Anolis sagrei: one gene and its partners. The protein of the gene in region 1 binds, or shares a complex with, the protein of each later gene. Links are inferred from orthologs where the notes say so. Each region holds a gene or a part of one and is shown in the gene's direction. Other genes may lie near its edges.

Region 1 (7,522 bases):
TGGCATAATACAATATAGTAATATTTAATACTGATACTGAGAAGGGCGGCATATAAATGTTGTAAATAAATATAAACGTCACAAATAAATAAATGCCACAGACACACAACACATATAGACAGACATATAGGCAGACACACAGAGGCTATTTAACTTTCTAGCTTCGTGAGAGTATTCTTTCTCAATTCCAGCCACCGGGGGAGCTATCGCTCCACTGTCCACTTGTGACACTGATGGAGATTTTTATGGCGTCGTAAATTAGTTAATTAGCCTCCTAAATTTCCTACTTGACAGATGCAACTGTCGGGCTGCAAAGGTCAACAGCAAGCTAGACAAATGGTGGGAAGCTCACTCCGACCCGGGCTGGCTTCGAACTCATGACCTCTCGGTCAGTAGTGATTTTAATGCATACACACACAATATATTTCAGACCCCCTTTCCCCATGATAACAATAACTCTTCCAGGAGTGGATTTCCCTTCCGAGGGGGGGGGGGTGGATTCCCCTCATTCCCAGTTGCTTCAGCCCTGTTCTTAACTGTGAGTCGTTTGTCAGTCGGATGTTTGCAACTTGGGAACGGCCCACACGGGCCTCCACTCACCTCGTCCTCAGGGTAGTGGCAGTCCAGCACCAGGGTCTGCTTGGTGTCATCTTTGGTGACTTCCACAACAAAGTTCGGGGTCGACGTGAGATCCGGCTGCAGGAAAAAAACAGACCTCTGTTTAGCCATCTTGATCACTGCCTTCCCTTTGGGAGAACTGGTGGAGTCTTCGTGAACAGAGTACGCATGGCCCTCTGTCGGGAGGGTTTGGGTTGCATCTTCCCACCTGGCTGAAAGGGGTTGGACTAGATGCCCTTTGGGGGCCTCTCCCAACTCTAGGATTCCACTGCCATTCTGTAAGCTGCTGGCAATACTGGAAAGGTTTGGGGGGAATTCACCTTGATTCACAGTCCTTGTAGGTACTGGGATTTATAGTTCACCCGCAATCAAAGGGAACTCTGGACCCCACAATGATGGACCTGGGCCTAACTTGGCGCACAAAACCCCCATGACCAACAAAAGAATGTAGGAGGGACTTGGGGGGATTCATCTTGATTTTTAGGATTTATAGTTCACCTACATCCAGAGAGCAATGTCAACACAGTAATGGATCTGCACCAAATTCAGCACGCATACCCCATATGCCAAAATTTGAATACTGGTGAGTTGGGGGGGGGGGGGGAGGGATTGGCCTTGACATCGGTTAGTTGTACGTACTGGGATTTATAGTTCAATTGTGATCAAAGTGCACTCCGCACCCCACCATTGATGGAACTGCGTCTAACTTGGCACACATAACCTCCATGACCAAGGAAGGATTTGACAGGACTGACCACAGTGGGAGTTGTAGTTCACCCTGCAGCCAGAGAGCACACTGAACCCCACTGAGGATGCATCTAAAGCAAATTTGCCTAACATGACAAACTAAATATTGATGGGTTTTCAGGGAGTTCCCCTGGCATGATGGGAGTTGTAGTTCATCTAGAATCTTAGGCATTTGGGACAATTAAAAAGTGGCTTCTTCTAATAGCCCGGGCAATGCCAGGGACCCAAGCTAGTCTATAATAAAAGGACCCCCACTTACTTCTTGCTCGTCCGGCTTCTGTCCTTCTGGAGCCTCGTCAAAACTCGGCGGGATGCTGTTGTTGATGTTGAAGGACACCGTGACCCTGTGGACGGAACCAGGAGGAGGAGCCCAAGGTGAGCAAACTCCAGAGAGATATAACAAGAGGGGTGGGAGACCCCCACCTGACCCCACCCAGGAGGAGGAGGAGGCGCCCCTTACGTCTCGCCGGCCACTTTCCGCGCCAGCTTGGCCTCGGTGCCTTGGACGTCCAGCTCCCAGCCGCCGGACATTTTGGGCAATGACTTGTGCTTCTGGATCTTCTTCTCCTCCTTGATTTCGTCCACCAGGAACTCCGCAAAAGCTTTGTCGCCTGCCAAGAACACACAGGTGAGAGCTATCCACCTAATCCAGTGTTTCTCAACCCTCCTGATGCCACGACCCCTTAATACAGTTCCTCATGTTATGTTGACCCCCAACCATAACATTGTTTTTGTTGCTACTTCAGAACTGTCATTTTGCTTCTGTTATGAATCGTTGTGTAAGTATCAGATAGGTAGGATGTGGCACAAATACCCAATACACCCAAATTTGAATACTGGTGGGGTTGGGGGGGGGGGTTGATTTTGTCATTTGGGAGTTGTAGTTGCTGGGATTTATAGTTCAGCTACAATCAGAGCATTCTGAATTCCACCAACAATGGAACTGAACCAAATTTGGCACACAGAACTCCCATGACCAACAGAAAATACTAGAAAGGTTTGGTGGGCATTGGCCTTGAATGTTAGAGTTGTAGTTCACCTGCATCCAGACAGAACTACGGACTCAACCAATGATGAATCTGAACCATACTTGGCACGGATACTCAATATGCTCAGATGTGAACACTGGTGGAATTGGGGGAAAATAGACCTCGACATTTGGGAGTTGTAGTTGCTGGGATTTGTAGTTCACCTACAATCAGAGAGCATTCTGAACCTCACCAACGATAGAATTGGGCCAGACTTCCCAAACAGAATCCCCAAGACCAACAGAAAATACTGTATTTTCTGATGGTCTTTGGTGACCTCTCTGACACCCCCTCATGACCCCCACAGGGGTCCCAACCCCCAGGTTGAGAAACACTGACCTAATCTATGGACCTATCTATGTATTTATTATTTATTTGCGACATGGATATGCCGCCCGCCCTTCTCCCCTTACTCAGGGGACTCAAAGCGGCTTACAAAATATATACATACAATATAATATATTATTAGTATAGTACAATATCAGTATTATATATTACTATCAATATATCTAATCTATCTGTAGCTATTATCTATGCAACTATGCATCTAATCTATGCATCTGCCTATCTGATCTATCTGTATTTATCCCTCTATGCAACTATGTATGCATGTCTGTATCTGATCTATGCATCTGTTTATCTAATCTAGCTGTCTCTTTGTAGCTATGCAACTATGTAAGTATATCTGTATCTATCCTATGTATGTGTTTATCTGTCTAAGCCAGGGATCCTCAAACTAAGACTTGAGGGCCGGATGCGGCCCTCCAAGGTCATTTCCCCAGCCCTCGCTCAGGGTCAACCTAAGTCTGAAATGACTTGAAAGCATGACAACAACAACCAGCCCACACCAAAGCTCCCATAATTACATTATTATACGATTATTATATATATATATATATATATATATATATATAATTCTAACATTATTATAATATATAATATAATATTATAAAATTATATATAATATATTATTATTATTATTATTCTCTTCCTAGGCACAGAGATCCTATTCCCAGAGAGAACGCATTCAAAACCCTATTTTCAGAGAATATTTTTATTTTGTTATTATTATTATTATTATTACTTGTGGTGTCAGGAGCGACTTAAGAAACTGCAAGTCGCTTCTGGCGTGAGAGAATGGGCCGTCTGCAAGGAGGTTGTCCAGGGGACGATGCCAGGCGCGTGGCCAGGAGGTGAATGGAGGAGGAGGAGGAGGCTCACCTTCAGTGTGGAGGCCCGCGCATGCGCAGGGGGCGGAGGGCAGGCTCCTGAGGCCTCCCCCTCCCCCGCGAGGCCTGCGCTCCTGGAGCTGCCACAGCGAGCGGGTGAAGGGCCGGGCGGCGGGGAGCAGCCGCGGAGCCAGGCTGGAGGCGCCCGTCCGCGCCTGGAAAGGCCGAAGCGCCGCGGAAGCCGAAGAGCGGAGGACCCGAGCGAGCAGCATGGCCGTCTGAGGGGAAAGGAACGCGCACCGGAAGTGGAAGCAGCAGCAGCAGAAAGCCGGAAAGGGCGGGGAAAAGCACATCCCCGCTAGTGCGCACGCGCATCAAAGGTTCCCGCCCCTTTCTCATTCCCGGCGTGTTGCCTTCCCGCCCTCACTGCGCACGCGCCGAAGAGATAGAAGAGAACTCCCCGCTAGTGCGCATGCGCAAAAAATGTGCCCGCCCCTTTCTCTTTGCGGCGCGTTGCCTTGCCGCCCTCACTGCGCACGCGCTGGAGAGATAAAAGGGAGCTCCCTCGCTACTGCGCATGCGCATCAAAGGAGCCCGCCCCTTTCCCTTTGAAGCGTGTTGCCTTCCCGCCCTCACTGCGCACGCGCCGGAAAGAGACAAGCGAGCTCCCCCGCTAGTGCGCATGCGCATCAAAGGTGCCTTCACACTCTCACTACGCACGCGCCGGAGAAAGAGAAAAAAGAGAGCTCCCTCGCTAGTGCGCACGCGCATCAAAGGTTCCCGTCCCTTTCCCTTTCCGGCGCGTTGCCTTCCCGCCCTCACTGCGCATGCGTTTGAGAGAAAAAAGGGGCGGATACCTTCTCCCTTCCCCGCCCCCTCACTCTCAGCGCTCGTCGATTGGCCGGCTGCGAAATCCTTTCCACGCCTCATCCGTTTCCGGAGAGTGGCGCCTGCGCAGTGTGAGATTCTCACGCAGAGGCGGCGAAGGCGGCCGCCATTACGAGTCCTTCGCCTGAGAGGAAAAGAGAGAAGAAGGAAGGAAGGAGGGGAGGAGAGAAGGGAAGATACCAGGCCGGAAGGTCAGTAGTCATCCCGAATTTTATTCCCCGCTATAATTGGGCTTATTTGCATATGCATAATGAGATACTTTAGAAAAGAAGGAGCGAGAATGGGTTTCTGGTTTACGCCAAGGAGGCGCCCGAAGCAGGACTAGGCCCACGCTTGGCGCATTTGCATACTGTTTGCTGATTGGCTACTCTTCCTCCTGCCCGCGTCTGATTGGCCAAGGCCTTGCTCCTTGGCCTAGGCTGGAAATTGAAGTCTTCTGCACACACTTCACTAATTACTCCTGTGCTTATTATTAATTAATTAATTACAATAAATTAACACAGGAGTAATTAGTAAAGACACACAGAGTGTGTGCAGAAGACTTCAATTTCCAGTCTAGGCCAAGGACTCATGTCTTATTAATAATATTAATTAATATTAATAATAATTAATGATAAGAATTTTATTTAACTGCCCCTCCCCATTATTTATTTATATTTGTATCCCACTTTATCTCCATATTGATACTCAAAGCAGCTCACAATAAAAATATTACAACTTCAGATATTCAATAATAAAACGGTAATATATATATAGTTGTGTGTGTATTATATATTAACAATAATATTATGTTTAATATATTATCATTATGGTGCATTATTGTGTATTGTTATATTGTATAATTATATAAATAAAAATGTAATGTTCGTTTGTGGGATTAACATAACTCAAAAACCACTGGACAAATTGACACCAAATTTGGACACAAGACACCTAACAGCCCAATGTATGTCCTTCACTAAAAAAAAAGATTTTGTCATTTGGGAGTTGTTGTTGCTGGGATTTATAGTTCACCTCCAATCAAAGAGCATTCTGAACCCCACCAACGATGGAATTGAACCAAACTTGGCACATAGTTCTCTCATGACCAACAGAAAATACTGGAAGGGTTTGGTGGGCATTGGCCTTTGGTTTTAGAGTTGTAGTTCACCTACATCCAGAGATCACTGTGGACTCAAACAAGGATGGATCTGGACCAAACTTGCCATGAATACTCAGTATGCCCAAATGTGAACATTGGTGGAGTTTGGGGAAAATAGAAACTTGACATTTGGGAGTTGTAGTTGCTGGGATTTGTAGAGAGCATTCTGAACCCCACCAACGAATTGGGCCATAGAACCCCCATGACCACCAGAGTGGGCCACAGCAACTCGTGGCAGGGAACGGCTAGTTATATAAATAAAAATGTAATGATTTATTGTGGGATTGGCATAACTCAAAAACCACTGGACAAATTGACACCAAATTTGGACACAAGACCCCTCTCAGGCCAACGAGTGACCATCACTGGAAAACACTGACAAACACTGGAAAACACAACAGAAGAGACTTAAAAAGCCGAAAAACAAAAAAAAAATACATTACAAAGCATGTGCAAAACCACATATACACACAAATACACATATACACACAAATATATACGCACACACATACACACAAACACAAAACATATATACACAGGCTAGACCACAGCAATGTGTGGCAAGGGAGGGCTAGTATATTATAGATAGGCAGGTGCATATTATATAATACATGTTATATGACATTATAGTGGTATAGTACAATATAATAATATACCATAGTAATGTATTATACTAATAGTATATATTAATAACATGTTTGTTTCCCTTCCCTTAGGCCTGACCTGCGGCCATGGCAACTGGCGTGTTCCCTCCCTTCCGGGGGCCCTGCCCTCCGATGCCGGCCCCTATGGCTCCGCTGCCAGACTACATGTCCGAGGAGAAGCTCCAGGAGAAAGGTACGATATGTTCACGCTCTTATATCGCCTTGTTAGTTGACATAGCCAGGCTGATCTGTCAAATTATTCCGTCATAGGTCTATGTTATTTAATCAGATTTAAGAGTTTTTACTGCTTATTATAATACCATTGACATTTAATTATATTTTAATATTGGCATATTTTTAGGTGGATTTCAATTGTATGCATTGGTTTTACAATAAGCTGCTTTGAGTATTTTTTTAGAGAAATATAGCAAGATCTAAGTAATAATAATAGTTTATTTATATACCATTAATATTGAATTCTATTTTAATGTTTGTGTATTTTAGGCCTTAAATTGTATTGGCCTAAATGTAAGATACTCCCTGACCAAACTTTGCATAAAATGACCTCAGAAGCACTTTATTTTATGGTTCGTGCAATTAAATCCTTCCCTGTCCCCGGATCCTCCTTCTAATAATTTATATTGTCCTATCTCCCAGCGTTTAACAAATTTATCATTGAGTTCGGCCTTGCCCAGCCTAATCCTCTGTGTTTTAATGTTTGATTTGCTTTTGTTCTTCATTTATTATATTGCTTTTGCATTTGATGTATTTTATTTCTGGTTTTGTTATGCTTTTGTGTTATATTATGATACTGTATTTTTGGACAAGGCCTCATGTAAGCCGCACTGAGTCCCCCTGGGAGAGATGGAGCGGGGTATAAAGTATTATTATTATTATTATTATTATTATTGGCTTCACTCTATTTATTTGTTTTATTTATTTATTTACTGTGCTTATATACCGCAATTCTCAGCCCAAGGGCAACTCTAAGCCCCTCTGAGTCTCTTATTCATAGAGAAAAAAAGCAGAGTATAATAAAAATAATGAGTAAATCCCTAATATACGACAGGCCTTAATTATAGGATCCTGGCAGTATCATTCCCTTTGGGCGGGGGGTGCTTTGGCTCTTTTGGGGAAAGCTCTGCCTCTATTGTGAGTGTGTTCTGGCTTTCGCAGCCCGCAAATGGCAGCAGCTGCAGGCCAAGCGCTACGCTGAGAAGCGGAAGTTTGGCTTTGTGGATGCGCAGAAGGAGGACATGCCTCCGGAGCATGTGAGGAAAATCATCC
Region 2 (7,728 bases), on another chromosome or scaffold:
ACCTTGGTAGTCACCTCTAGACAAAAGACAACAGTGACACTGAAATAAAACTCCGCTTGAGCTCTGCGAGTGCAGCATTTTTCTGAATGAAGCAGAAAGTGTTTGAGGACCGGGACATCCATAGGGAGACCAAGGTGCTTGTTTATAAAGCTATTGTCCTCCCAACCCTGCTATACACCTGTGAAACGTGGACTGTCTACAGATGCCATACGTAACTCCTGGAACGATTCCATTAGCACTGCCTCCGAAAAATCCTGCAAATCTCTTGGGAAGACAGGCGGACAAATGTCAGCGTGCTGCAAGAAGCAAAGACCACCAGCACTGAAGTGATGCTCCTAAGCCATCAACTCCGCTGGACTGGCCACGTTGTTCAAATGCCCAATCACCATCTCCCGAAGCAGTTAATATACTCCTAACTCAAGAACAGAAAACGGAATGTTGGAGGACAGGAAAAGAGGTTTAAAGATTGGCAAAGCCAACCTTAAAAACTGTGGCATAGACACCGAGAACTGGAAAGTCCTGGCCCTTGAGCACTCTAACAAGTGTCAAGTTTATAACTTTGTAAGTACCTTTAAATGTGTTTTAACATGTGATGTTTAATGGATATATTTGCAACAAATGTTGATGTATATAATAAGTGCTAAGTTTATAACTTTGGAAGTAACTTCAAATGTATTTCAGTATATGATGTTCAATATATATATTTGCAGCAAATTTTGATGTATATAATAATTTTAGTCCACTAGAGGAAGGCCTGGAGAAAGAACAAAACCGGTCGTGGATGGCTGATTCATATGCAACTCAACATAAGAAGACACGACGTTGATACCATTTCAAAGTGACTGTACAAAAACTCATATAATATTGTTTGTGATCACTGTAAACTTGAACAGTATAACAAGTTTATACAATTATACATTGAATTCTATTTTCTATTTTCTATACAAGGGGGATATTTGTTGAGCATACTAACTCAGGAACCCATTCATATTGCACTCTAACTAAAGGTGAGCTGTGACCAGCAGTGCTGTGACCAGCAGTGCTGCAAAATTCAAAGAGGCACAAATGGAGGGTGAAAGGGAGAAACATGCCCAAAGGAAGGCGTGTCAAGCCAACCCTGATTGGACCGCCTCCCATCTGGAAACTCACTGCAGAAGAACATGTGGATCAAGAACTGGGCTCCACAGCCACCTACGGATCCACCGCCAAGACACCACATCTGGAAGACAATCATCCTCGAGCTATGAGGGATTGCCTAAGGATCAGAAAAGCCGAAGTATCACTGTCTCAGTCACCCAAGCAGTCAATTTTGGAGGATTCTGGCCCTCTTGTCAAGAGATACCTGTCACCTGTACGCAGATGATGTCCAACTCTATCACTCCTTCCCTCCTGCAACTAAGGAGGCTGTTCAGATCCTGAACCGATGCTTGGCCGCTATGATGATCTGGATGAGGGCAAACAAATTGAAACTGAATCCAGACAAGACAGAGGTCCTCCTGGTCAGTCGTAAGGCCGAACAGGGCATAGGATTACATAGCCTGTGTTGGATGGGGTTGCACTCCCCCTGAAGATGCAAGTTTGCAGCTTTGGAGTGATCCTGGACTCATCGCTGAGCCTGGAACCCCAGGTTTCGGCGGTGACCAGGGGAGCATTTGCACAGTTAAAGCTTGTGCGCCAGCTGCGCCCATCCCTTGGGAAGTCTGATCTGGCTACAGTGGTCCACGCTCTGGTTACATCCCATATAGACTACTGCAACACACTCTATGTGGGGTTGCTTTTGGAGACTGTCCGGAAGCTTTGAATGGTCCAACGAATGGCAGCCAGATTGCTAACAGGTGCAGCGCTCAGGAAGCATACAACTCCTCTGTTGCGCCAGCTCCACTGGCTGCAAGTTTGCTACCGGACACAATTGAGAGTGCTGGCTTTAGCCTATAAAGCCCTGAACGGTTCTGTCCCAACTTACATGTCCGAACGCATCTCCCCTTATGAACCAGGACCTTAAGATTGTCTGGGGAGGTCCAGCTCTCGTTACCGCCTTCATCACAAGTACATCTGGCGGAGACAAGACAGGGACATCTCGGCGGTGGCCGCTCAGCAGTGGAACGCCCTCCCTATAGATATTAGATCGGCCACCTCCCTTTTAACATTCCAGAAAATGTTAAAAGGGCTTTTTGAACAAGCGTTTCCAAGTGCAGAGTAACTGACATAGAAAAATGGAAAGACGACAATGAGACTGGACAACGTTTTTAACAAGGCGACACTAAGAATTTATATTTTATTGATATGTTTAATTTTTATTATATGTCTTGTTTTTAATTGTATTTATGATATTGTAAGCATTGAATTTTACCCTGTTAACTGGCTTGAGTCGCCTTCGGGCTGAGAAAGGCGGTATACAAATACAGTAAGTAAATAAATAATAAATACCCGATCTATATTTTGTAGCAATAGAAGTCAAAAGTGTGAGAGAAATAACACTCCTGAGATACCTGTCCAGATTGAAAGGAATCATACTCTTGAGATACCTGTTTTAGTAATACTCCTGAGACACCTGTCCAGATTGAAAGAAACAATACTCCTGAGATACCTGTCTTAAGCAATACTCCCAAATCTTGCCCTGAGGGTGGAAAAGGAATGAAGGGGGAGGGAACTGAGAAGCAGAGGAATCCAATGGCAGCCTTTGGGAGAAGGAGCTGGAGGCGCAGACTTGGGGAAAGGGAACTTGTGATGGGGAAGCGAGAGACCCTCCCTCCCTGCCTGCCTCCTGCTCACCTGGCAGCCCTTCTTGTGGTGGAAGCCGACCACGGCGATATGCAGCACGGGCCCCTTGGAGGCTCGGGGCGGGAGGTCGCCCTGCGCTCGGCCCCTCCGCTCCATGAAGGGAAGGAGAGCCGCCTGCCTTCCTCCACTCTTGACAGGCTCCTTCCCCACTCTCCGGATGAGCGGCGCGAGGCGGCCACTGAGCATGCGCCAAGAAGGAGGGCGCACGCGCAGTGGCGCCTACCGAAGCCCTCGCGCCGAGAGCTCAGGAAACCGGAAGAGAGCGGACTTCAGTCACCGCCGAGGGCCGGGAGGCCGAGCCAGTCCCGAGGAGGGAGGGAGGGAGAGGACAGAACGAGGAACCTGGGCGTGAAGGTCTCTAGTCACAAAGTCCAATAGCCGAGGGAAGTTACTGGCCGCCTTGGCCAAATTAGGGCCACAGGAAGAAGAAAGTTTCCTGACCTGTTACCTCAGGCTGGTTCCTCTGGGCAACCAGTTGCCAGGGCTCTGCTCTTAAAGGGACAGCACCCTCAGAACGCCATAGAAAGAAAGTCCTGCTACTATTATTTATTTACTACATTTATATGCTGCCCTTCTCACCCTGCAGGGGACTCAGAGCGGCTTACAAGCTATTTATACATACAATATATTATGTTATTATATATTATATATTAAGCTGGGGTGAAAATTGCTGGAAAAAACATTAACAACCTCAGATATGCAGATGACACCACTCTGATGGCCGAAAGCGAGGAGGAGCTGAGGAGCCTAGTGATCAAGGTGAAAGAAGAAAGCGCAAAAGCCGGGTTGCAGCTAAACATTAAAAAACCCAAGATTATGGCAACAAGAATGATTGACAACTAGAAAATAGAGGGAGAAAATGTGGAGGCCGTGACAGACTTTGTATTTCTAGGTGCAAAGATTACTGCAGATGCAGACTGCAGCCAGGTTCGAATCTGGGGAGCGGCATGAGTTTCTGCTGTCAGCCCCAGCTTCTGCCAACCTAGCAGTTTGAAAACATGCAAATGTGAGTAGATCAATAGGTACTGCTCTGGCGGGAAGGTAACGACGCTTCATGCAATTATGCCAGCCATATGACCTTGGAGGTGTCTACGGACAACGCCGCTCTTCGGCTTAGAAATGGAGATGAGCAACATACCCCAGAGTTGGACACGACTGGACTACATATCAGGGGAAAACCTTTAACTTTACCTAAAGTAGCTTTAGTTACTATTTCTCATTTCCCCCTATGTACGTCCTGTATGACATCACTTTAAACTGCCATGGGTCAGCACTAAGGGAGGTGAAAGACTTTGTGAAACTATAACTCCCATGATTTCCATAGCACTGAGCCATAGAAGTTCAAATGAATCCTACATCCACTCTGTAGGATTCATTAATCTTACAGAGTGGATGCACCTACATTAGGAAGAACTTCCTGACTGAGAGCAGTTCAGCAGTGGAACTCTCTGCCCCGGAGTGTGGTGGAGGCTCATTCTTTGGAGGTTTTTAAACAGAGGCTGGATGGCCATCTGTGAGAGGTGCTTTGAAGGCAATATTCCTGCTTCTTGGCAGGGGGTTGGACTGGATGGCCCATGAGGTCTCTTCCAACTCTGTGATTCTATGAATACACAGGAAGCAATCGTATTCGCAGTGTGTATATTCCTGCTGTCATTGCAACTTGTCGTGGTGGGTGCCGTACAATACAAAATAGCTTGAGATCTGCGTTTCGTTTAGAGTTGGATCCCGCTATAAACCATACACCAATCGCTCAGTGAAGCATCCTCATGTGACTAGATGAGCTCGTCCCCGCCTCCTCTTCCTCCCCGCTGTTGAAACCGTTCGACTGCTCGCTCATCGATTGGTTGGACCTGTCTGAGCGGTGCCGCCGGGTCGATTCTTTGTGGCGTCACAGCCCCCGTGATCCTTATTTAGCCAATAGGCTCGAAGCAGCGCCGCGCGGAGGGGGTGGAATTGATTAGTTGGGTCTGGCGCAAAGATGGCGGCCAACGCGACGACCAACCCGTCTCAGCTTCTACCTCTTGGTAACAAACTGAGGGAAACGCGACGAGGAGGAAGGGGAAGGGGAAGCGTGGCGTTTGGGAGAAGTGGGGAGCTGTCATATTTGTCTGGCAAATTAAAAAGATAAATGACTGAAGTGGTAAATGCTCTTTCCCCGCTTCCTTGGCCATTAGCTTCAGGCGAAACCTATGTTTGAGGCCCTGCGTCAGGGAAGTTCTGTCAGTTTTCTTGGAAGTGGGATGAAGGAACTCGAGAAGCAGCTTTGTTCTATTTTGTTCTCCTAATATTTTTAATTATTTTTTTTACAACAAAAACACAAAAAGGAGCAATACTTGTAAATACAGGGTGAGGCAGCATAACTTCCTTTTTTTCAAAACTTAATAAAACCCATTGTATGAATCAGAATTTTTTTTAAATCATCATCATTATCATTTAATAACTTATTAATCACCTAGAGAATGCTCTAGGCTAAATTACAAAAGATAAAATACATACATACAAAAATTAAAAATCAACAGAGATCGAATGCTCTAGTAAAAAGCCAGGTCTTAAGTGCGAGAGTAAAAGGCCCTAAGTCACGCATGGCTCTCATGTAGGGTGGCAAGGAATTCCACAAGGCAGGGGCAGAAATAGAAAAAGCCCTGCGTCTGGTCCTTTCCAAGTGCACTTCTCTAGGACCCGGTATATGGAGTAAGTCACGTTGGGCTGGTTGTTGCGACCTCCGATGATGGGAGAAGGAGAGGCGGTCCCTAAGGTACGATGGACCCTGGCTGTAAAGAGTTTTAAAGGTCAGAACTAGCATCTTATACAGGCCACGGTACTCAGTTGGAAGCCAATGTAAATGTTGCTGCACTGGTGTTATATGGTATTTCATGGGCGTTCTTGTGAGTAACCTGGCTGCCGCGTTCTGAACAATACGAAGCTTTCGGGTCGTAGACATCGGAAGGCCCACCTACAGGGCGTTGCAATAGTCCAGCGTAGACGTGACCGTGGCATGGATGACAGTTGCCAGAGCCTCGTCAGATAGGTAGGGTGCCAGTTGCCTCGCTTGTCGTAGATGGAAAAAGGCCTGTTTCCTGGCAGCAGTGACCTGAGCTTCCATTGTCAGCTGTGAATCCAGGACAACACCTAAGCTCTTAACAGTGATCGATGGAGATAGGGCAGCACCATCGAAGGTGGGTAATGGAGTCAGACCTGCCAGGCGACCATGCCAGAGAATCTCAGTCTTCGCTGGGTTCATCTTCAGTCTGTTAGCACGTAGCCAGTTTGACAGAGCTTCCAGACATAGGGTGAAATTGTCTGGAATTGACGTTGCTCCAAGCTCCGCATACCTAAAGTTTTGTTTTACATAGTTTTGAAGATCAAATTAGGTAGGTGACGTCCCCCATTCGCCATACACTGAGTAAAGCAATTTCTGGTGTTTGTCATGACTTGGCAGCATAGCAGGCATTATGTTGGCAGTTTCTTCCTGGATGTTGGTCTTCAAATCTTGTAGGGTCCTTAGACGGTTCGCATAAACACGGGATTAGAAAAAAAATCACAAGGGGCCAAATCTGGAGAGCTGGCCGGCCACTCCAAATCCGCTCGAAAAGTAGGCCTCAATGGCAAAAGTATGCTCCTCACTGTTCCAATGCATGATGGACTGAACTGTGTCAGGACAAAACTTTATACTCCCGCTTCTCGAATGAGACCACTAGCGCTCCACTTCGTCTTCAGCCGACTAAATTGAGCACATTTTTTAAAAAGGAAGTTATGCTGCCTCACCCTGTACATAAAACATGACATACTTAGAGTATGACAACCCGAAGAACATACATTTCTACCTACAACTCTACAACATTAGTTTTCAAAGTGGATTTCCAACATCTCTTTTTTTCAGTTTCTCGATCAATTTAATTGTTTTTCTTCCACTTTATATCCAGCCAATTGTTTACTTTAGTTTTCTTTAACATTTGCAAATGAATATCCCAACATTTTATGTCACCAAACCTATATATAAAGTCTTTCATTCTCCCCAGATATATCTTGATAATATGGTTTCCACTGGGTTGCTGTGAGTTTTTCGGGCTGTTCCAGTAGTATTCTGCAAGTCTATTATTGGCAAACAAAAGATATCTCCAGACTACAACACTGACTGACTCTGCAGTTGCAAGGCTAGTAAAGGTAAAGGTTTCATAAAACAGTCGTATCCGACTCTGCGTGGTGGTGCACATCTCCCTTTCTAAGCCAAAAAGCCTCTGTTGTCCATAAACACCTCCAAGGTCATGAGGCCAGCATCATTGCATGGAGCACTGTTACCTTCCCACAGAAGAGGTATCTATGATATACTCACATTTGCATGTTTTCGAACTGCTAGATTGGCAGAAGCTGGGCCTAACAGTGGAAGCTTACCATGCTCCCCGTATTTGAACCACCAACCTTTTGGTGAGCAAATTCCGCAGCTTGGTGGTTTAACCCATTGAACCACCGGGGGGGGGGGGGTGCAAGGCTACTCAATTCTACTCAGTCTTGCTAATTGCAAAACTTGCTTCAAACAGACAAGGTCCCCCCCCCCCCCCAACCTTGGACAGTTCACAGATATATACACTCTACATGCCTCACTTCCAACAGTCCTCAGAACAAACCTCTGAAGATGCAAACCACAGATGCAGGCAAAACGTCAGGAAAGAATGCTACTGGAACATCACAGCAGCCCAGTGATTTCAGCCATGAAAGCCTTTGACAACACATGGTTTCTATTCTAAGATTGTGCCCAATGTCTTATCTATCAACAACATTGTTAAATTAGTCTGTTTCTATTATTTATTGCATCTTGACTGTCCAATTTTCTATAGTTGGTATTTCTGTCATTTTTCACCTTGGAACATATACAATTCTTGTTGCTGTTAACATTTATTGCAGCATTCTCTCATGTTCCTTTTTATTTGATTGTTCAACTGTCCTAGC
Region 3 (7,073 bases), on another chromosome or scaffold:
TGAGTCATTGCATTCATTCAACCCTTTCAGTGCTTGGCTCACATTTTTGTAATTAAAAATACGAGGGGTATTTTTTAAGTAATGTCCGTTTTGTTGTAGACACTAGTAGTTCGCGCGCATACTGCAACGAGCGCGTGCATCGTGTACCGGCATGCCTCGGGAACAACTGTGCTCAGTTTCCGCTCTGTAGCTAACCTGTACGGTTCTGTTCTGTGCTTTTAAAATGTTTAAGACTATCAACTCACCCTCTGCATGTGAGGTTCGCTCAGTGATACGGTTTTTGTCAGCAAGGAACCTGCCTGCTGCAGAAATTTATTGACAGATTTGTGAAGTGTACGGTGATACCGTTATGAGTGAAAGCAAAGTGTGTAAGTGGGTATGACAATTCAAATTTTTTTATTATTGTTATTGTGAAGCGCCTATTCTCATGAATCCTCACTTCAACTGAAGCCACCAAATTATCTGTAATCAAAGAAGGGCGACCGGAGCGGTCCTCATCATGGACGTTGTCACGGCCATCTTTGAATTGTCGTACCCACTTACACACTTTGCTTTCACTCATAACAGTCTCACCGTACACTTCACAAATCTGTCGATGAATTTCTGCAGCAGGCAGGTTCCTTGCTGACAAAAAAACGTATCACTGAGCGAACCTCACATGCGGAGGGTGAGTTGATAGCCTTAAACATTTTTAAAGCACAGAACAGAACCGTACAGGTTAGCTACAGAGCAGAAACTGAGCATTTTTAATTTTTTGACAGCTTTATCTTCAACTGGTGAGATTTCTTGATTGGGGAACATTGGGTTATAGCTTCTTAGTCTCACCAGGCATGGATCCACAGTCGGCCTGCTGCCGGTACCTGTTACCCACTTAATGGATCTCGGTATCCACACACTGGGTTTCGCTATCTGCGATCCAGATCTCAATATCTGCCACCCCTTGAAATTGCTCAATTTCAAAACTGAATTCATTCTACAGTGCAGATGCACCTTTAGTCTACCTCCTCAGATGCTTACAAAAGCTTATGTTACCATTTGCTTTCTCAAAGTTCTGCAATATCCTTTTTACATACTGGCGTTCCACATCATAGTCATATTTCGGGATGCAAGAGATAAGGGCATTTCACGGCATCTATACATAAAACAAAGAGATAATTGCAGAGGGTGTCCATTCATTTAAATGCAGAAGGTGTCAACATTTTGGGGGATCTGAGCAATAGAATCAAGCTGGAGGACCTCAAGATTCCTATGTGGCTCTAATGTGTCAACTATCAGAGGATGCATTGGTGGATCCAAATGGCAGAGAGCCATTTTTGGCTTTCCTAAGGGAAATTCTCATTACACTTTTAGATCAGGCATGGGCAAACTTCGGCCCTCCAATGTGTTGGACTTCAACTCCCACAATTCTGGTAGGCTGTTAGGAATTGTAGAAGTTGAAGTCCAAAACACCTGGAGGGCCAGAGTTTGCCTATGCCTGATCTAAAGTGTAATGAGAATTTCCCTTAGGAAAGCCAAAAAATGGCTCTCTGCTGCCATCTGGTGCAGACAAGGAATTTTTTTAATGTTGGTTGTCCAAGGTTTTTTTACTCCCTCCATCCTTTTATTTTAATCAGGGGGATAAAAAAGCACCCTGGGATTTGTAGTTTGGTGAGGCACCAGTACTCATTGGAGAGAAGGAACTTGCAAAACCACAACTCCCACGACTCCATTGCATGGGGTCATGGGAGTTCAAGTGGAGTCGAACTGCAACAATGCTACAGTGTTGATAGTTACTTCTCTTGGAAAACTGCAACTCCATAGCATGGGGTCATGGCAGTTCAAGTGTGGTCAAACTGCATCAATCTATATAAATAAAAATGTAATGTTCGTTTGTGGGATTAGCATAACTCAAAAACCACTGAACGAATTGACACCAAATTTGGACACAAGACACCTAACAACCCAATGTATGTCCTTCACTCAAAAAAATTGATTTTGTCATTTGGGAGTTGTAGTTGCTGGGATTTATAGTTCACCTACAATCAAAGAGCATTCTGAACCCCACCAACGATGGAATTGAACCAAACTTGGCACACAGAACTCCCATGACAAAACAGCAAATACTGGAAGGGTTTGGTGGGCAGTGTCCTTTGGTTTTGGAGTTGCAGTTCACCTACATCCCGAGATCACTGTGGACTCAAGCAATAATGGATCTGGACCAAACTCTATACGAATACTCAATAGGACCAAACTCTATACGAATACTCAATATGTCCAAATGTGAACACTGGTAGAGTTTGGGGAAAATAGAATCTTGACATTTGGGAGTTGTAGTTGCTGGGATTTATAGTTCACCTACAATCACAGAGCATTCTGAATCCCACCAACAATAGAATTGGGCCAAATCTCCCACACAGAACCCCTATGTGGGCCACAGCAACGCGTGGCAGGGGACGGCTAGTGCTACAATATATATAGATACTTCTTTTGGAAAACTACAACTCCCACAACAATGCCATTGCTTTGAGTCATGGGAGTTCAAATGGGGTCAAACTGCATCCATGCTACAGTGTAGATAGACACGTGTCTTGGAAAACTACAACTCCCACAACTCCATTGCACTGAGTCATGGGAATTCAAGTGGGGTCAAACTGCATTAATGCCAAGTATACATCAATACTGTAGATAGATATTTTTTCTTGGGAAACTACAACTCCCACGACTCCACTGCACTGAGGCATGGCAGTTCAAATGGGGGGGGGGGGGAACCGCATCCATGCTACAGTTTAGAATAGATACTTCTCTTGGAAAGCTACAACTCCCACAACACCACTGTATTAACTCATGGGAGTTCAAGTGGGTTCAAACTGCATCCATGCTATAGTATAGACACGTGTCTTGGAAAACTACACCTCCCACAACTCCATTGCATTGAGTCATGGGAGTTCAAGTAGGGTCAAAGTGCATCCATGCTACAGTCTAGATAGACGCTTCTCTTGGAAAACTACAACTCACACCGCCCCATTGCATGGAGTCATGGCAGTTCAAGTGGGGTCAAACTGCATCCATGCTACAGTGAGTAGATACTGCTCTTGGAAAACTACAACTCCCACAGCCCCTTTGCATTGATTCATGGCAGTTCAAGTGGGGTCAAACTGCATCCATGCTACATATAGATAAACACTGCTCTTGGAAAACTACAACTCCCACAACTTCATTGCACTGAGTCATGGGAATTCAAGTGGGGTCAAAATGCATGAATGCTAAGTATACATCAATACTGTAGATAGATATTTTTTTTCTTGGGAAACTACAACTCCCACGACTCCATTGCACTGAGGCATGGCAGTGCAAGTGGAGTCGAAATGCATCCATGCTACAGTGTAGAATAGATACTTCTCTTGGAAAACTACAACTCCCACAACTCTATTGCATTGAGTCATGGGAATTCAAGTGGGGTCAAGCTGCATCCATGCTACAGTATAGATAGATACTTCTTTTGGAAAACTACAACTCCCACAACTCTATTGCATGAAGTCATGGGAGTTCAAGTGGGGTCAAACTGCATCAATGCTACAGTGAGTAGATACTGCTCTTGGAAAACTACAACTTCCCATTACACTGATTCAAGGCAGTTCAAGTGGGGTCCAACTGCATCCATGCAACAGTATAGATAATGCTCTTGGAAAACTACAACTCCCACAACTTCATTGCACTGAGTTATGGGAATTAATGTGGGGTCCAACTGCATCAATGCTACAGTGTAGATATATACTGCTCTTGGAAAACTTGCACTAAGTCATGGCAGTTCAAGCGGGGTCAAACCGCCTCAATGTTATAGTGTAGATAGATACTTCTCTTGGAAAACTACAACTCCCAGGGTTCCATACCATTGAGCCAAGGCATTCAAAGTGGCGTCAAATTGCATTCATTGTATAATGTAGATTCACCCCAAAGAAAAGTGAAGCCGCTTCCCTTTTAAATGCCGTGTTAATTAATCAGCCGGCCCCTTTAAGATATGGAACAATCAAGGGAAGAATTAGGCCGCGGCTCCTTTAAGAAGGCAGCCCGGTTCCCTTTCCTGCTTCACGCGAAGGCAGCGCTTCCGTTTGCTTCGTCTCCTGAGCGTTCGCAGAGGCTCTCACCGCGCATGCGCAGCCCGGGAAGTTCTTTCTGGTCCAGGGGCTTCGATCCACGCGGGTTCTGTGCGGCGGGAGTTGCCGGCGGCTGTTATGGTGAGTCTGTGACGTCACAGTGCTGGCCATTCCATCAAGCACCCTCTCCTCCCCCCGGGAAAGTAAAAGCATTAATTCAATGGGGTGAAACTCCTCCATTGTTGTGATTGTTGGTCTCTTGTCTTTGGGGTCTTCTCTTAAGCAGGCACAGGACTCGTTTGCAATTCAGGAAGGGGAACCTGCTTGCAGGGGTGTCCATGCACTCGTGTCTAATAGGGGTGCATCTATACTGTAGAAGGAGTGCAGCTTGACATCACTTTAATTGCCATTGCTCAATGCTATTGAATCATGGGAGTTGTAGTTTGGCGAGGAAATGTTGATCATTTCCGCTACCTTGGCAGCCACCTCTCCACCAAAGTCAACATCGACACCGAAATACAACACCGCCTGAGCTCTGCAAGCGCAGCATTTTTCCGAAATGAAGCAGGGAGTGTTTGAGGACCGGGACATCCGTAGGGAGACCAAGGTGCTTGTCTATAAAGCTATTGTCCTCCCAACCCTGCTATATGCCTGTGAGACGTGGACTGTCTACAGACGTCACATGCAACTCCTGGAACAATTCCATCAGCGCTGCCTCCGGAAAATCCTGCAAATCTCTTGGGAAGACAGCGGATAAACGTCAGCGTGCTGGAAGAAGCAAAGACCACCAGCATTGAAGCGATGGTCCTCCGCCACCAACTCCGCTGGACCGGCCACGTTGTCCGGATGCCCGACCACCGTCTCCCAAAGCAGTTGCTCTACTCCGAACTCAAGAACGGAAAACGAAATGTTGGAGGACAGGAAAAGAGATTTAAAGATGGGCTCAAACCCAACCTTAAAAACTCTGGCATAGACACTGAGAACTGGGAAGCCCTGGCCCTTGAGCGCTCCAGCTGGAGGTCAGCTGTGACCAGCAGTGCTGCAGAATTTGAGGAGGCACGAGTGGAGGGCGAAAAAGAGAAGCGTGCCAAGAGGAAGGCGCGTCAAGCCAACCCCGACCAAGACCGCCTTCCACCAGGAAACCAATGCCCTCACTGCGGAAGAAGATGCAGAGCAAGAATAGGGCTCCACAGCCACATATGGACCCACAAGAATATTGGAAGGCAATCATCCTCGGAAAGCGAGGGATCGCCTAAGAAGAAGAAGAAGTTTGGCGAGGCACCAGCTGTTATTTGGCAGAGAAGGATAAAGACCTTGCAAAACTATAACTCCCATGTATCATTTTTGCTGGTGTCAAAATGGCTACATATGCCTTTAGCTTAGATCAGTGGTTCTCAACCTTCCTAATGCCGCGCCCCCTTAATACGGTTCCTCATGTTGTGGTGACCCCCAACCATAACCCTAACATTATGAATCGCCATGTAAATAGTGATCTGCAGGATGTATTTTCATTCACTGGAGCAAATTTGGCACAAATACCTGATATGCCCAAATTTGAATACTGGTGGGGTTGGCGGGGGGATTGAGTTTGTCATTTGGGAGTTGTAGTTGCTGGGATTTATAGTTAACATGTAAACAAAGAGCATTCTGAACCCCACCAACAATGGAATTGAACCAAAGTTAGCACAGAGAACTCCCATGATCAACAGAAAATACTGGAAGGGTTTGGTGGGCATTGACCTTGAGTTTGGGAGTTCTAGTTCGCCTACATCCAGAGAGCACTGTGGGCTCAAACAATGATGGATCTGGACCAAACTTGGCACGGATACTCAATATGCCCAAATGTGAACACTGATGGGCTTTGGGGAAAATAGACTTTGACATTTGGGAGTTGTAGATACTGGAATTTATAGTTCACCTACAATCAAGGAGCGTTCTGAACCCCACCAATGATAGAATTGGGCCAAACTTTCCACACAGAACCCCCATGACCAACAGAAAATACTGTGTTTTTTGATGGTCTTTGGCGACCCCTCTGACACCCCTTCGCGACCCCTTCAGGGGTCCTAACCCCCAGGTTGAGAAACACTGGCTTAGATAGATGGAGCCCCTGGTGGCACAATGGTCAGGACTGCTGACCAAAAGGTTGGTGGTTCAAAGCCAGGGAGTGGGGTGAGCTCTCCTCTGTCAGCTCCAGCTTCCCATGTGGGGGCATGAGAGATGCCTTCCACCAGATGGTAACACGTCTGGGCGTCCCCTGGGCAATGTCCTTGCAGATGACCAATTCTTTCACACCAGAAGCGACTTGCAGTTTCTCAAGTCGCTCCTGACACACACACACACACACACACACAAAAGAAGCTCAGATAAGTGATAATGCTGAAATATAACATTTACTGTGACACAATATTCTGTTTAGAGAGAAGAATGAAAGCAACACCTGGGAACTGTACCTCCTACAAACAGGGACACGAGCCAGCTGTACACTGCAAAATCAATGTAGTTTGATGCCCCTTGACCATCCATGGATCAATGCTATGGAGTCCTGGGAGTTGCAGTTTGGTGAGGACCAGTTCTCTTTGGAAGAGAAGGCCAAAGACCTTAGAATAGTAGAGTTGGAAGAGACCACATGGGTCATCCAGTCCAGTCTCCTGCCATGCAGGAAAACCACAATCAAAACATCCTCAACAAATGACCATTCAGTATTTTTTTTAAAGCCTCCAAAAAAGGAACTTTCATCACACTCCAAGGCAGAGAGTTCCACTGCTGAACAGCTCTTACAGTCAGGAAGTTCTTCCTAATGTTCAGGTGGAATCTCCTTTCCTGTCATTTGAACCCATTGCTCCATTGAGTCCCAGTGTCCAGAGCAGCGGAAAACAAGCCTGCTCCTTCTTCCTTATGAGAGTCTTCCAGATATTTATACAAAGCAATCATGTCATTCTCTTCTTCAGACTGAACTTTTCCAGCTCCTGAAGCCACTCCTCATAGGGATCATTTTAG

Evidence for each region. The genes of interacting proteins can lie anywhere in the genome.
Region 2: PRPF8 (region 1) and LSM5 share a complex: the UniProt entries of both Homo sapiens proteins name them as parts of the U4/U6-U5 tri-snRNP complex. The link is inferred for Anolis sagrei from reciprocal best matches to the Homo sapiens genes PRPF8 and LSM5.
Region 3: PRPF8 (region 1) and LSM2 share a complex: the UniProt entries of both Homo sapiens proteins name them as parts of the U4/U6-U5 tri-snRNP complex. The link is inferred for Anolis sagrei from reciprocal best matches to the Homo sapiens genes PRPF8 and LSM2.

Annotation. Positions count from the first base shown.
Region 1 is NC_090031.1:35,466,076-35,473,597, forward strand, and holds the start of PRPF8 (pre-mRNA-processing-splicing factor 8), read left to right. Parts: upstream 1-4,503; 5' UTR 4,504-4,641; intron 4,642-6,307; 5' UTR 6,308-6,322; coding exon 6,323-6,428; intron 6,429-7,411; coding exon 7,412-7,522. Other genes in the region: C1QBP (complement component 1 Q subcomponent-binding protein, mitochondrial), read right to left, coding at 601-696, 1,625-1,709, 1,826-1,976, 3,615-3,915. UniProt on the Homo sapiens protein: Plays a role in pre-mRNA splicing as core component of precatalytic, catalytic and postcatalytic spliceosomal complexes, both of the predominant U2-type spliceosome and the minor U12-type spliceosome.
Region 2 is NC_090026.1:72,054,213-72,061,940, forward strand, and holds the start of LSM5 (U6 snRNA-associated Sm-like protein LSm5), read left to right. Parts: upstream 1-4,707; 5' UTR 4,708-4,759; coding exon 4,760-4,805; intron 4,806-7,728. Other genes in the region: late secretory pathway protein AVL9 homolog, read right to left, coding at 2,773-2,967. UniProt on the Homo sapiens protein: Plays a role in pre-mRNA splicing as component of the U4/U6-U5 tri-snRNP complex that is involved in spliceosome assembly, and as component of the precatalytic spliceosome (spliceosome B complex).
Region 3 is NC_090022.1:21,207,138-21,214,210, reverse strand, and holds the start of LSM2 (U6 snRNA-associated Sm-like protein LSm2), read left to right. Parts: upstream 1-4,052; 5' UTR 4,053-4,211; coding exon 4,212-4,214; intron 4,215-7,073. UniProt on the Homo sapiens protein: Plays a role in pre-mRNA splicing as component of the U4/U6-U5 tri-snRNP complex that is involved in spliceosome assembly, and as component of the precatalytic spliceosome (spliceosome B complex).